Saccharomyces cerevisiae S288C: one gene and its partners. Changing the gene in region 2 together with the main gene of any one other region gives a genetic interaction. Each region holds a gene or a part of one and is shown on either strand. Other genes may lie near its edges.

What was found. A genetic interaction does not mean that the proteins touch.
Region 1: mutations in NRT1 (region 2) and FAS1 together harm fitness more than expected from each alone (negative genetic interaction), as found in Saccharomyces cerevisiae (one large-scale study listed by BioGRID).
Region 3: mutations in NRT1 (region 2) and GRX5 together harm fitness less than expected from each alone (positive genetic interaction), as found in Saccharomyces cerevisiae (one large-scale study listed by BioGRID).

What each region holds. Positions count from the first base shown.
Region 1 is NC_001143.9:98,364-106,670, forward strand, and holds the start of FAS1 (tetrafunctional fatty acid synthase subunit FAS1), read left to right. Parts: upstream 1-2,307; coding exon 2,308-8,307. Other genes in the region: YKL183C-A (uncharacterized protein), read right to left, coding at 32-244; LOT5 (Lot5p), read left to right, coding at 358-1,278. UniProt on the Saccharomyces cerevisiae protein: Fatty acid synthetase catalyzes the formation of long-chain fatty acids from acetyl-CoA, malonyl-CoA and NADPH.
Region 2 is NC_001147.6:458,593-463,490, forward strand, and holds NRT1 (nicotinamide riboside transporter), read right to left. Parts: upstream 2,685-4,898; coding exon 888-2,684; downstream 1-887. Other genes in the region: YOR072W (uncharacterized protein), read left to right, coding at 2,910-3,224. UniProt on the Saccharomyces cerevisiae protein: High-affinity pH-dependent nicotinamide riboside transporter which also transports thiamine with low affinity. Involved in 5-fluorocytosine sensitivity.
Region 3 is NC_001148.4:442,302-445,531, reverse strand, and holds GRX5 (monothiol glutaredoxin GRX5), read right to left. Parts: upstream 954-3,230; coding exon 501-953; downstream 1-500. UniProt on the Saccharomyces cerevisiae protein: Monothiol glutaredoxin involved in mitochondrial iron-sulfur (Fe/S) cluster transfer. Receives 2Fe/2S clusters from scaffold protein ISU1 and mediates their transfer to apoproteins, to the 4Fe/FS cluster biosynthesis machinery, or export from mitochondrion.

The DNA of each region.
Region 1 (8,307 bases), on a different chromosome or scaffold from region 2:
TTTTACAATTTTTTATAATTTTTTTTTATGTTTAGTGTATATTTGCTAGAAAGAAACAAGATCTTTTTTGGTAGTGTAAATGCTTAAACTTTGTCTCTTTTTCCTTTTTACTTTGGAAAAATGCCGACGCAAGAACATAGACATCTGCGAAAACCAAAAATAAAGTACCAATTGTACATACAAAAACAGAGAAAAAGTTCATGAACAGAACGTTACTACGGTATAGCAAGATCTTTGAATACATCCATTACTTCGGATTGTTCACCATACTTCAACACAGGCCAAGATAGACCATAGCTACAGTGATAGACGAATATTTATTTCAAAAGAAGCATCAACCATAAAATAAAAAGAAAAATGATGAAAAAAAAACCAAAGTGCCAAATTGCAAGGACCAAACCATCGGTCGAAAACGTCATACCATATAACCAATTCAAGAAGACGCAGCCGCGATTCAACGGCAACTTTTCTGCACTGAATAATGAAGAATACATAATACTCTTTGGCGGAGGTCGGGACCTGATACTAGGCTCCCTGACACCTTGTTCGAGCTCTCATTTGTCCAATCAAGCCAACCCACAAGACACCAGTGAGTATGGCACAGACCTGTTTATACTCAACAGCTGCATTATCATTTGGTTCAATGGCTTGGGATATGGGCTGGAAATTCCCTACAGCAGCGTTTTGTACCATGCATCAAGACGGCTACCAGATGGTAGGGAAGGGCTTCAATTAGAAATTTTGCTGACTTTGGAAAGAGACGAAGTGTTGGACATGCTCTACCAAAGCCTCGCGCCACAGGCCTGCGAATTCGACGGCGAAGAAGCACATGCCTTCACCGTGCGCAGCGTGGAATTGACTATCAGGCCCAAATATTCAATATACGATCGCCATTATAACAACGAAATCGAAACCCTTTTCACCTTCGAAAACTTCGGCGTGAACAGGGGCGATGACCTGGTAAACAATTGTAACGAAGCACTAGCCGTATGCATGGACCTGCACGGTGAGGACGTACAAGATCAAGACCAGGAACAATACCAAGATCCAAGCATGGCGTTTGAGGGTGCGCAAGATCTCAACGCCACGTATTCTGGGCTTGGAGACACCCTTCACGGGCCGCCCGTGTATCAGAACGACGGGCTGGCAGACGATCTGGATGGCGACCTCGTTATGGACAACGTGGTCTCTAGGGGTGGTCCAGAAGCAAGTATGTCTATGGAGTTCTACGCAAATCAAAATCTTGCTGGCAGAAAGAACTCCAGAGACAATGAATGAACAACATCTATTATGGGAACATCCCGCTGTACTATGCGGTCTCGTCCTCTACGAATATGGCTATTTGCCTTCGTATATACCTTTCTATACCAAGTAATGAATGTCTTGAGGGCCCGTATGGCCGCGCGAAGGCTTAGTTAAGATGTTTCAGCAAACGGCAGCATGTGAAAAAACCCGTAGAAGGTCCGCATCAGCCTTCCATGCCCGTGCACCCACGGCTCCTCGGAGGCCGGGTTATAGCAGCGTCTGCTCCGCATCACGATACACGAGGTGCAGGCACGGTTCACTACTCCCCTGGCCTCCAACAAACGACGGCCAAAAACTTCACATGCCGCCCAGCCAAGCATAATTACGCAACAGCGATCTTTCCGTCGCACAAGTTAAAAGAAATTGTTGAAAAATACAAATAATCGCGAACAATACGTTGTTGCTATTTAACGCTTTTGGTCTGACAGTAAGTGTGCCTTTCCCAATCACCGAAAAGTGTTGAACGATTCACTGCGACAATAATCAGAGATTACAGTCGGCATTTTGGCATTTTTGGCATACTTTTTATCGATTGAACCATCTTCTCCAAACACTTTTCCTTTTTCCTTCTATTCTGCAGGACCAACTAAAACTGGGTATATATATCATTATCTATATATATAAACGGCTTTCAACAAAGTTATAGGGGAAAACTAAAAATATAAGAAAAAAAAAGGTATTGATTGATAAGGAAAAAGAACCAAGGGAAAAATATAAAAAAGTACATTGGGCCTTTTCATACTTGTTATCACTTACATTACAAAGAAGAACAAACAACTTTTTTAAACGAATTTTCTTTCTTCCTTTTTCAATTTATTAATTCTTTTTTTCCATACAATTCAAGGTCAAATATATTCTTATATGCTCTTTGAATATTTCTGAAAAATATATAAAGAAAAGAAACTACAAGAACATCATCCGGAAAATCAGATTATAGACTAGGATTCCGCTCTTTTTAGTATATTTATTCGCCACACCTAACTGCTCTATTATTCGCTCATTATGGACGCTTACTCCACAAGACCATTAACCCTATCTCACGGTTCTTTAGAGCACGTGCTTCTGGTACCAACCGCTTCATTTTTCATTGCTTCGCAATTACAAGAACAATTTAATAAAATTTTGCCCGAACCCACTGAAGGGTTTGCTGCAGATGACGAGCCTACCACACCTGCTGAACTAGTGGGGAAATTCCTTGGCTACGTATCTTCTCTAGTCGAACCTTCCAAGGTCGGTCAATTCGATCAGGTCTTGAACCTTTGCTTAACAGAATTTGAAAACTGTTATTTAGAAGGCAATGACATTCACGCCTTGGCTGCTAAACTATTACAGGAAAACGACACAACTTTAGTGAAGACTAAAGAACTAATTAAAAATTATATTACCGCCAGAATAATGGCTAAGAGACCATTTGACAAAAAATCCAACTCTGCTCTTTTTAGGGCCGTCGGCGAGGGTAACGCACAATTGGTAGCCATTTTCGGTGGTCAAGGTAACACCGACGACTACTTTGAAGAATTGCGTGATCTATATCAAACTTATCATGTCTTAGTGGGAGATTTAATCAAGTTCTCCGCTGAAACTTTAAGTGAACTGATTAGAACTACTTTAGATGCTGAAAAAGTCTTTACTCAAGGTTTAAACATATTGGAATGGTTGGAGAACCCTTCAAATACCCCAGACAAGGACTATTTACTTTCCATTCCAATTTCATGCCCCTTAATTGGTGTCATTCAATTGGCTCACTACGTAGTTACTGCCAAGCTTTTGGGTTTCACTCCAGGTGAGTTAAGATCTTACTTAAAAGGTGCTACAGGTCACTCTCAAGGTTTGGTTACTGCTGTCGCCATAGCTGAGACGGATTCCTGGGAATCCTTCTTCGTCTCCGTAAGAAAAGCAATTACTGTATTATTCTTCATCGGTGTTCGTTGTTACGAAGCATACCCAAACACTTCCCTACCACCATCCATCTTGGAAGATTCCTTGGAAAACAATGAAGGTGTTCCATCTCCAATGTTGTCCATTTCCAATCTAACTCAAGAACAAGTTCAAGACTATGTAAATAAGACTAACTCTCATTTGCCAGCTGGTAAACAAGTTGAAATTTCTCTAGTCAATGGTGCGAAGAATCTAGTCGTATCGGGCCCACCACAATCATTATATGGTTTAAACTTGACTTTAAGAAAGGCCAAGGCCCCATCTGGACTGGATCAATCAAGAATCCCATTCAGCGAAAGAAAATTGAAGTTCTCCAATAGGTTCTTACCTGTTGCATCACCATTCCATTCCCATCTATTGGTTCCAGCTTCAGATTTGATTAACAAAGACTTAGTCAAAAACAATGTCAGCTTTAACGCTAAAGATATTCAAATCCCCGTTTACGACACTTTTGATGGTTCAGATCTAAGAGTCCTTTCAGGTTCCATTTCCGAGAGAATCGTCGACTGCATCATTAGATTACCTGTCAAATGGGAAACTACTACACAATTCAAAGCCACCCACATATTAGACTTTGGTCCAGGTGGAGCTTCCGGTTTAGGTGTTTTAACCCATCGTAATAAAGATGGTACTGGTGTTCGTGTTATCGTTGCCGGTACTCTCGACATTAACCCAGATGATGATTACGGATTCAAGCAAGAAATCTTTGATGTTACTAGTAATGGTTTGAAGAAAAATCCAAACTGGTTGGAAGAATACCATCCAAAATTAATTAAGAACAAATCAGGCAAAATTTTTGTCGAAACAAAATTTTCTAAATTAATCGGTAGACCACCTTTATTGGTTCCTGGTATGACACCATGTACTGTTTCTCCAGATTTCGTAGCTGCTACCACAAATGCTGGTTATACCATTGAGTTGGCCGGTGGTGGTTACTTTTCCGCAGCAGGTATGACCGCCGCTATTGATTCTGTGGTTTCTCAGATAGAAAAGGGTAGTACCTTCGGTATCAACTTGATCTACGTCAATCCATTTATGTTACAATGGGGTATTCCATTAATCAAGGAACTAAGAAGCAAAGGTTATCCAATTCAATTCTTGACCATTGGTGCTGGTGTCCCATCATTGGAAGTTGCTAGTGAATACATAGAGACATTAGGTTTGAAGTACTTGGGTTTGAAACCAGGTTCCATTGATGCTATTTCGCAAGTTATAAACATTGCTAAAGCACATCCAAACTTCCCAATAGCTTTACAATGGACCGGTGGTAGAGGTGGTGGTCATCATTCTTTCGAAGATGCCCACACTCCAATGTTACAAATGTACTCCAAGATTAGAAGACATCCAAACATTATGTTGATATTCGGTTCTGGTTTCGGTTCTGCTGATGACACTTACCCATACTTAACCGGTGAATGGTCCACAAAATTCGATTATCCACCAATGCCATTCGATGGTTTCCTATTTGGTTCGAGGGTCATGATTGCTAAGGAAGTTAAAACTTCTCCTGATGCTAAGAAGTGTATTGCTGCTTGTACTGGTGTTCCTGATGATAAATGGGAACAAACCTACAAGAAGCCAACTGGTGGTATTGTCACTGTTCGCTCTGAAATGGGTGAACCAATTCACAAAATTGCCACTCGTGGTGTTATGCTATGGAAGGAATTCGACGAAACCATCTTCAACTTACCAAAGAATAAGTTGGTACCAACTTTGGAAGCAAAGAGAGATTACATTATCTCAAGATTGAACGCCGATTTCCAAAAACCATGGTTTGCTACCGTCAACGGTCAAGCCCGTGACCTAGCCACAATGACATACGAAGAAGTTGCAAAGAGATTGGTGGAATTAATGTTCATCAGATCTACCAACTCTTGGTTTGATGTCACATGGAGAACCTTTACTGGTGATTTCCTACGTCGTGTCGAAGAACGTTTCACTAAAAGTAAGACATTGTCTTTAATCCAATCCTATTCTCTACTAGACAAGCCTGATGAAGCTATTGAAAAAGTATTTAATGCTTATCCTGCCGCTAGGGAACAGTTCTTGAATGCGCAAGATATTGATCACTTTTTGAGCATGTGTCAAAATCCAATGCAAAAACCAGTGCCTTTTGTTCCAGTTTTGGATCGTAGATTCGAGATTTTTTTCAAAAAAGATTCGTTATGGCAATCTGAGCACTTGGAAGCCGTCGTCGACCAAGACGTTCAAAGAACATGTATCCTACATGGACCTGTTGCAGCACAATTCACTAAAGTCATCGATGAACCAATTAAGAGCATTATGGATGGTATTCACGATGGTCACATCAAAAAGTTACTACATCAATATTACGGTGACGATGAGTCAAAGATTCCAGCAGTTGAGTACTTTGGTGGTGAAAGCCCTGTAGACGTACAAAGTCAAGTTGATTCTTCCTCTGTATCTGAAGACTCAGCTGTTTTTAAGGCAACATCCTCTACTGATGAAGAAAGCTGGTTTAAGGCTTTGGCGGGATCCGAAATTAACTGGAGACATGCAAGTTTCTTATGTTCCTTTATCACTCAAGATAAAATGTTTGTTTCTAACCCAATTAGAAAAGTTTTCAAGCCAAGCCAAGGAATGGTTGTTGAGATTTCCAACGGCAATACTTCTTCAAAGACTGTTGTCACTCTTTCAGAACCTGTTCAAGGTGAATTGAAACCAACTGTTATTTTGAAGTTGTTGAAGGAGAACATAATCCAAATGGAAATGATTGAGAACAGAACTATGGATGGTAAGCCCGTCAGCTTGCCATTGTTGTACAACTTCAACCCAGATAATGGTTTTGCTCCAATCTCTGAAGTTATGGAGGACAGAAACCAAAGAATTAAGGAAATGTACTGGAAATTATGGATTGATGAGCCTTTCAATTTGGACTTTGACCCAAGAGATGTCATTAAGGGCAAAGATTTCGAGATCACCGCTAAAGAAGTTTATGACTTTACACACGCTGTTGGAAACAATTGTGAAGACTTCGTTTCTAGACCTGATAGAACGATGTTGGCCCCAATGGACTTTGCTATTGTTGTCGGATGGAGAGCCATCATCAAGGCCATTTTCCCTAATACGGTCGATGGTGACTTATTGAAGTTGGTTCATTTGTCTAACGGCTACAAGATGATTCCTGGCGCTAAGCCACTGCAAGTTGGTGATGTTGTTTCAACTACTGCTGTTATTGAATCTGTCGTCAACCAACCTACAGGAAAGATTGTCGATGTGGTAGGTACATTATCGAGAAATGGCAAGCCTGTCATGGAAGTCACCTCCTCATTCTTCTACAGAGGCAACTATACTGACTTTGAAAACACTTTCCAAAAGACTGTTGAACCTGTTTATCAAATGCACATCAAAACTTCTAAAGATATAGCTGTCTTGCGCTCTAAGGAGTGGTTCCAATTGGACGATGAAGACTTCGATCTGTTAAACAAAACTTTGACTTTCGAAACTGAAACTGAAGTTACTTTCAAGAATGCTAACATCTTCTCTTCAGTGAAATGTTTTGGCCCAATTAAAGTTGAATTGCCAACCAAAGAAACCGTGGAGATCGGTATTGTCGATTACGAAGCCGGTGCCTCTCACGGTAACCCTGTTGTTGATTTCTTGAAGAGAAACGGTTCCACATTGGAACAAAAGGTCAATCTAGAAAATCCTATTCCAATTGCAGTACTTGATTCGTACACTCCAAGTACCAACGAACCATACGCTAGAGTTTCTGGTGATTTGAATCCAATTCACGTTTCACGTCATTTTGCCTCTTACGCAAACTTGCCAGGTACTATCACGCACGGTATGTTTTCTTCTGCTTCCGTCCGTGCTTTGATTGAAAACTGGGCTGCTGACAGTGTTTCATCCAGGGTACGTGGCTACACTTGTCAATTTGTTGACATGGTTTTGCCTAACACTGCTTTGAAAACATCGATTCAACATGTTGGTATGATCAATGGTAGAAAATTGATAAAGTTTGAAACTAGAAATGAAGATGACGTTGTAGTTTTGACTGGTGAAGCCGAAATTGAACAACCTGTTACTACCTTCGTTTTCACTGGTCAAGGTTCACAAGAACAAGGTATGGGTATGGACTTATACAAAACTTCTAAAGCTGCTCAAGATGTTTGGAATAGAGCTGACAACCATTTCAAGGACACTTATGGTTTCTCTATCTTAGACATTGTCATTAACAACCCAGTTAACTTAACAATTCACTTCGGTGGTGAAAAGGGTAAGAGGATCAGAGAAAACTATTCTGCTATGATCTTTGAGACTATCGTGGATGGAAAATTGAAGACTGAAAAAATTTTCAAGGAAATTAATGAGCACAGTACTTCTTACACATTTAGATCTGAAAAAGGTTTATTGTCTGCTACTCAATTTACACAACCAGCTTTAACTTTGATGGAAAAAGCTGCTTTCGAAGACTTGAAATCTAAAGGTTTGATCCCAGCCGATGCTACTTTTGCTGGTCACTCTTTAGGTGAGTATGCTGCTTTGGCCTCTTTGGCTGATGTTATGTCTATCGAATCTTTAGTTGAAGTTGTGTTCTACAGAGGTATGACTATGCAAGTTGCTGTTCCAAGAGATGAGTTGGGCAGATCCAACTATGGTATGATTGCCATTAACCCAGGTAGAGTCGCTGCATCATTCTCTCAAGAAGCTTTGCAATATGTTGTTGAGAGAGTTGGTAAGAGAACCGGCTGGTTGGTTGAAATCGTCAACTACAACGTTGAAAACCAACAATATGTTGCAGCTGGTGATCTAAGAGCTTTAGACACCGTTACCAATGTTCTAAACTTCATCAAATTACAAAAAATTGATATTATTGAACTACAAAAGTCCTTATCTTTGGAAGAAGTTGAAGGTCATTTGTTTGAGATCATTGACGAAGCTTCCAAGAAATCTGCTGTCAAGCCTCGCCCACTTAAATTGGAGAGAGGTTTTGCTTGTATCCCATTAGTTGGTATTTCTGTTCCTTTCCATTCCACCTACTTGATGAATGGTGTTAAACCATTCAAGAGTTTCTTGAAGAAGAATATCATAAAAGAAAAT
Region 2 (4,898 bases):
GATATGATAATATGTTCAAAGGGCTAAAGTCTCATGAAACAGCGTCACTACAAGTCACATAAAGTTCGTACAGCAAGTCTATGCATGCTTTCCTCAAAAGAACTACCCAAATATAAACACATATACAAAAATTCAGATTTTACATTTCAGGTTTCCATAATATGTTAAAAGCTAGATCTTACATAGTGTCGGGAACAGGTCATTCTAAAAAAAGTAAAATAAAATAAAAGGGTTTCAAAGATCCATACTTCTCTACATTCTCTGACTTTTTAAAACTGTGTACTGGCGACCAATCGACAAATCTGCAACCCCAGCTTCATAAGCTTTCTCTCCCACCAGCAAAGCCTGGACCTCCCTGGTTCTAATAATGAGCGACTGAAGTTTTCCAAAAGAAACCTTCACTAAACATGTTATGCTCCTCAATCACGCGATGAAATAAAGGCCTATTTTTTGATCCAACGCCTTTGAAAATTTCCTTATGGCTGGGTGGGGTACCTACCATGAACATGTTAAAGGTAAGTGGTGGCATATTATGGAGTTACGCCCGTATACCAGAGTAATAATGTTGCCGCCGGATAGGCATGGCGCCCCCACCGGATTCTCTTGCTATATGGATGGCATAATTAGCTTATGAAAGGATTGGTAAGAATATGTCTTCTAGCAAGAAAATACTAAGAACCAATAGTTCCTTTTTTTATAAAATTATTGAGCCATACACAATAATGCCGATATTTGTCACCATAGACATACTTGACAGTAAAGTATTTGCAGCTGAGGATCGATCTGGTAGTATTCCCAAATTGTAAGATCTGTACAGATTTTCAAATGAAGCGTTGAAGTTTCCTCTTTGTATATTTGAGATCTTCATTTTATCGGATTCTTTGTCATCAGACAACTTGTTGAGTGGTACTAAAGGAGTGCTTTTCATCATCCTTTTGGTGAACGATTTCAAATACGTTAGTGTTTTCTGAGCTAGTTTTGATCAATTCAGGTGATTCGTTATCAGAACTCTCAGGTTTGTATTCGTGTCCAGTTGTGTAGCATTCGCCTAACGTGTAAGCACGGATTTCTTCCTCAGAAATTTCACTGTATGGAATCATGCCCTTCTTTCTCGCTTCTTCGTCGGTAAATGCACCATAGTAATCTTTGTCATCATGTCTAACAGTAATTTTGAATGGGAAGAAGACACATAGCCCCCAGTAAACGAAAAAAGAAATCAAAAAGGAGAAGAAAGAATCACCATAAAAGAATTTAACAATACCTGAGTCGTGGAAATAGTTATTGTTGACTTCCCAAGCGATACCAGGTAGACCGGGAGCCATACCACACACCCAGGCAACGATAGCTCTCCAGTTGACACCCTTGGTAAAATAGTATTCACCCTTTAGAATAAAGGCATTAGTAATGGAATATTGCCTCTTCCTGATCAGAAAGTTATCACAGATCATGACAGCAATAATAGGAGTCATGACAACACCGAAAGAACTCATGACAGTTAAGAAAGTAGAAGAAGAGTTGTAGAAGTTCCATGGCAAACAAGCCCAGGAGATACATGCGCAAAAAAGAGCACCTCTCTTGATATCGACGTATTTGGGCAACAAACCGGCCATATCCATACCAGTGGCAAACCCACAGTTGGAGATGGTGGAGGACATTTGAGACATGGTAAAGCAAAGACCACAGAAGAAGGCACCTGCGCGAGCGCCTGCAGAATAGTTGTTTGTCAACCAATAATCGAATATATCCATGGGCATCCAAAATTGTTTACCGTATAATTTGTCGCAGGTGGAGGCACTAATGACACCGAAGATTGGGACCAAGGTTGCTGGGATTAGTAATGCACAGACGCTACCGGTCCAGATAGCCAAATTGGAGGAACCGAATCTTGAATAGTCACTTTGGTTGGTGGAACCTGGAGAAATGGAACCGAACCAGTATGAAATCATGTAAACCCAAGCCCATGCTCTTTTAGAACCAGTAACGGTAGATTTTGTGGAGGTAAACAATTCACCGACACCATGGGCATTCTTAGTCAAGTAAATCACTATACCCAGCATGGCAAAGCAAGTAGCTACACATGACCAAATTAAAAGGTAGTTCATATGGTAGGGTTTCATGAAATAGCAGAGCGCGGTGAGGACGTGGAAAATAATGAAGCCGACCAACTGCTTGGTGGTCATGGCAACACTTGGGGACAAAGTATTGGGCAGGTGCAGATAGTGGTGGGACCAGGAATCTAATATCATGTTGATAGATAGACCACCCAACCAAGCGTTGGAACCATAATTGACAATACTCATCAAAATTCTAATGATGATACCGAAGGCTGAACCGTAAATGCCAAAAACGAATCTTTGGGCCAAGGTGAAACCGATTTTCCAATCATAACCGGGGTAAGAGTTGGCCATAGTGAAAATAATGGTCAAGACATTACCGAGAAGAAACGAAACAATGGTCTCTGGGTAACTTAGGCCGACACTTAGTGCAGCAGAACCACTCATCCATGTACCTGCTGTAAAGGACACAGCGCCCCAGTACGCCAAATTAGACCAGAACCCCCATGTTTGATTTGCAGACTTGATAGGTTGCAAATCAGGGTTCCTCAGAAAATTCACGGCAGTCCTATTTTTGGCAGGAATTTCTAAATATCTCAAAAACTTAGAGACTATACTACTGAAGCTCATGATGATACAGGTGCTGAAGTCCTTTTTTTGATAGTTATAATGGGGATATCAGTACAATAAAGAATAATATAAATTCTGCAATAGGAAATAATATAGGTAATTGTTCTTGATAATTCTGGAGTTTATAAGATTTTAACTCTATTTATGAGAATAGAGAAGGAAAATTAAAACTACAATAGCGAATGCAAATTTTTTTCCCCGAAGAACAAATAGCGGTAGCAACACATGCTGACGAAAGTTGTGTTCCTCTTTTTTTGGAGCAGGTCTGACTCAACTAAAAAGCTAGCTGCATGCAACCACGCTACATTGGCACACTATATCCTGACGCCCGCGCTATACTCTGACGCCTGCGCTATATATTCTGACGTCTACTCCATAACTATTATAGTAGTGGCCACTGTTGTTCGTAACCCGGCGCGGTGTTCGCTCCGAGCACGAAAATTCTGTCGTTTATTCTCTTCCTTCTTCCAGTTCCATTACTTAAAGGAGCTGTTTTATTTCATTCGAAAGCCCGATGACAAATTCTCCTCTTTCATATAAATTAATAAGGCGGTCAGCAGGAAACTCCTATTGCCAACCGTCTTGCGAACCGACCGGTCGCTGCGCGCGATCATGCGTCCACGCGCTTCTGTGGCGACGGACGACTACAGCAAGACATTACTCTGGTCATTTACGCCTGGCGCCCAGAATGTACAAGCGCAGACGGCCAGATCATATGATGAAACGGAATAGTCCCAGCTATACCGGTGATCACAAGACGTAGTTACATAGATGCCTTGGCGCCGACACGATATTTCTTGTCGTTCTGTGCCAGTAATTCCTTTTCTTCTCGACTATGCCTCTAAGACGTCAGTCTTGGAAGCATAGTCTTCGTAAAAAAATTTTTTTTTTGAGGTTTTTGCTTCCATTTCTTTAGACTGAACTAATTTATTTTTTTTATTATTATTCAGTAATTTTTATATATTTATTTATGGACTTATTGAGGTGCTTTGGGGGTGATGACGTCCCCAGTGAGGCCCCCAGGGTAGTGGACCGCACCTAACTTCCCATTCATGATGTGATTACGCATTTTAATCTTGTCTATATGTTCTACAATGATGGCGTCAGTGCCAATGCCGTTCGCATCTATGAGGGAGATGAACTCGCTCTCGGCCGTTGGGTTTGAGGCGGTGCCGTAGTGTCCGCCTTCATTCCGGCTTCGCGGTGTCTACGAGGCATTCATTTTATGTCGCGGCAACTACTTGATATTTTCCACCAGGCACAAGGAGAAACATGGAGAAATTATATATAGAGAACTATGAGTCCTGAGGCGGCCGTTCAGTAGCTCAGATTGCCAGGGTTAAAAATTGCTCCTTGGCATCCTATGTGCTGCATACTAAAAAATTTTTAGCCACGTAGTTGTATACTTTTGTTTCCGGGGATGAGAAATTAGCCCCAGGTCCCAGACTTACAACAAGGTAGATAGGGGGGCGCACCTTGTCGTCATGAGACCCATTTCGTAGAAACTTGAATTTGTTGTTGTTACTTCTGTTTTCAAGTAGGAGTAACGAGGCCGCGTACAATTTGCCAGTGGATTTGTCGCCTGCAGCAGCGGCCGCGACGCGACGGGTTGATCCAATTTTGTGCTTGCTTCTTCAACTGAATATTTTGAGTCCACTGCATGTGGAAAACAGAGTTTTCAGTCAGTCTTGTATGTATATTATTCTCTTTAGCTCCAGAATTTCTGCTGTGCTTAGTAACTTCTTGCCGTTGAGCTGATTTTAGTAGTATAATTTTTTTGCAACTCTACTGATATCAAGAGCAGTGATATGTGCTTTAATGTTGGCATTTCTTTCAAGCCAATCACCTTCTACCATTGGTCACGGTCTCAGTATATTTGTCGTAAATATTAGTACTCTAGTCTGGTCAGAGAAGTGGCCTTTCTCCCACCAAAACGTTGTTGTTCTGTCTTTTTTCTTATTATTTACTATTTATTGGATTTATCAAAAATTCCTCAGGAACAAGATTTAATATTCTTGAAAATCCTGTATGTCATAAATCATGAGCTTGGAAATTGACACGAAATATCGGATGGCACTACTTGATGATCGTTTTTATCACTACCGCTGTACTTTAATTTCATAATTTATTTGGTGACATTTCTCTTGAAGATCTGGCAAGATGTACACGGGGAGCTCCTTCAACTGTTAAAAATATTTTTAAAAGTAAAGACGT
Region 3 (3,230 bases), on a different chromosome or scaffold from region 2:
TTTGACTAACATATTTGAAAGCTTCGCAGGGCAATAAAATTGAGCTCGCCTATTATCTTCCAATCCTTTTACGTTAAAAAAAATGGGGGAAAAGCAAACTGGTAACAGTACGGAATCTATCGAAAATCAAGAGAGTAACAAAGACAACCCCAACAAATGTCTGTCGCGTCTTTCGCACGTTGAATCAGAACGAAGATATGGCTTCTGTCATTCTAAAACTAACGTTTTTTGATTCAAGTCTATGCGGGGAATATTAAATATATTCATAATTCTCACTTCTTTGTTTTATAACGTCAATTCATTTGGCAAAGCAAAGAGAGGGGTTTGTAAGTAGAGAATCTGTTATTTACAAGTCTAAAGGCATGAGAATACATTACAAATCTTTAAAAAAATAGCAAATGTACATGCATATATAAATATGGATCGTAAAGGCCTATTATGCACACGAGTATTAAAGTGTTCGGCCACCAGTTCCTATTTTGCTTCCAGTGGTAACAAAATCAACGATCTTTGGTTTCTTCTTCTTCTTCAGGTACCAATGCCTGTGCCTCTTCTAGCAAATCGGCCAATTCACCAGAGCGTGCCATACTTGTAATAACATCACATCCACCAATGAATTCTTTGTTTACATATAACTGTGGAATAGTTGGCCATTCTGAAAACTCTTTGATACCTTCACGTAGCTCTGGGTCTTCTAAAACATTATAAGCCGCAAATTTGGCCGGGTCAACGCCTTGATTTCCTAATAATCCAATGGTTGCTCTTGAAAATCCACACTTGGGAAATTCAGGAGTACCTTTCATGAAAAGAACCACTGGAGCCGATTCGATGGCATCTTCAATAGCTTTTCTTATCTCTGTGCTCAAATACATCCGATTTTGGTAACGAAGAAGAGTCTTAGCCCGGAGGATGGGGGAAAATGACCTTATGGGATTGAATTTTGGGAGAAACATTGTCTGATTTCCTCAAATTTTTGCTAAAGTCAAAAAGTAAACAGATACCTTTGTGGCCTTGATATATGTGAAAAGAGTAATACAACTTCTTGTCCCTTTGGGACTAGAACGCATTTGTCATCAATACTTTATACCTTTACTTCCTAGAAGTGATTTATTTTGGTCGGGTAACGTTTTTCCAATAAGCTCAGATCAGTGCCAAATACCGGTTTAGACTCTTTACGGCACTAGTTATGCTTTATTGAATAAATTAAGCTCTGTATACTAAATTTAGAATCTCATGATTCCGTATGTAGTAAATTAACAGTTTGTACTATATTATAAAGAAGAATGAATGCATTGAACTTTTTGATCACAAGAAAAGTTGGCGTAGCAATACAACATACCTACTGTTCTCTCTTTGTTCGTGGTACCTTAATTAGTATTGTCGTAAGAAAATCTAAATGTCTTCTTTGGGCTAACTTATGATTTGCATACTTCTACAGTCGTCATAATGGACACCTTGTAATAAAAAGTGATGTGGTTCTCATCTGTTATAATAAATGGCTATGTGCGGCATTCGATGTCGTTTGAGATATTGACTACTAATGTATATTGAGATAAATCTGGCTGTTACCACAATTTGTCATTAGGTAGAAACGATAGCGCATGCTTAAAATAATTATGGATAGAAAACAGCAGTCGCGCTGTATGTAGAAAATATAAAACACATAAGTGATTCAGATCAGAACCCTCCTAAATCCCTAAAATATAGAAGTTCATTACATGGCAGTGATATATTAGAGGTTACCATCCTTTCTTAATATTGATAAGGCTACTAAATTAAGTGTTACTGGAACCTAGTTTCGCTTAATTCCTTTAGCTTTTGCATTCTATTTTTTCTTTTAATCAATCACTAATGAAGAAGCCTTAAGTCAGATAATGCCGTATCTAAGTATTCCTTTTGTAATAGCTCAATTTGTTAAAATACTCGTTCTCCTTGTGTTCTAGTGCATCAATTATCCATAATAATAAGCATATACTCGTACTGAATTATTCAATGGCCTAAATGGCAAGCACTAGCTTGCTCGAAGTTACTAACTGAACTATAAAACATTTTACTCTTTCAATTACTTTTAATTGAATCTTAAGCAGAATCAAAACTGCTTATGACTGCCATATGCTCAATGCGATGGCTCATATTTTCCATTTACATGAACCCCAGTTTATGTTCAAGTAGTATATGTTCTTAATTCAACGCAAACTGCTGATTTCACCATTGAATATTGTTTATATATGATATATACCGTCAAATTACTTCACGACAGTGTGAACTGTGATAAATCACTTGTTCCAACAAAATCCAGTACATTGGGTATTCGATCGCAGGCAATTATATTAATCGGGTATGCTAATATGGATTAGAGCCGTAGAAGCAGAACAAGGAGAATTACTTAATATTTGAAGTTCATTTAATATTCTTTGATTGTTGGAACGAGAGTAATTAATAGTGACATGAGTTGCTATGGTAACAATCTAATGCTTACATCGTATATTAATGTACAACTCGTATACGTTTAAGTGTGATTGCGCCTATTGCAGAAGGAATGTTAAACGAGAAGCTCAGACAATACTGAAGCTGTGTTAAAGACCTATTAGTTGAACATGATATGGTAGGTACATATATGAGGAATATGAGTCGTCACATCAATGTATAGTAACTACCGGAACCACTATTATATTGGTCATGATTAATATGACCAATCGGCGTGTGTTTTATATACCTCTCTTATTTAGTATAAGAAGATCAGTACTCACTTCTTCATTAATACTAATTTTTTACCTCTAATTATCAACATGGCGACCCCAGTGAGGGATGAAACAAGAAATGTTATTGACGACAACATTTCTGCGCGGATTCAATCGAAAGTCAAAACAAATGATACTGTCAGACAGACGCCATCATCATTAAGAAAAGTTTCTATTAAAGATGAACAGGTGAAACAATATCAAAGAAACTTAAATAGGTTTAAAACCATACTAAATGGTTTAAAGGCAGAAGAGGAAAAACTTTCTGAGACTGATGATATTCAGATGCTAGCTGAAAAATTATTAAAACTCGGAGAAACCATTGACAAGGTTGAGAATAGGATTGTGGATCTAGTTGAAAAGATACAATTATTGGAAACAAACGAGAACAATAATATATTACATGAACATATAGATGCTACAGGGACTTACTATTTATTCGATACGTTAACTTCAACCAACAAAAGATTCTACCCTAAGGATTGTGTT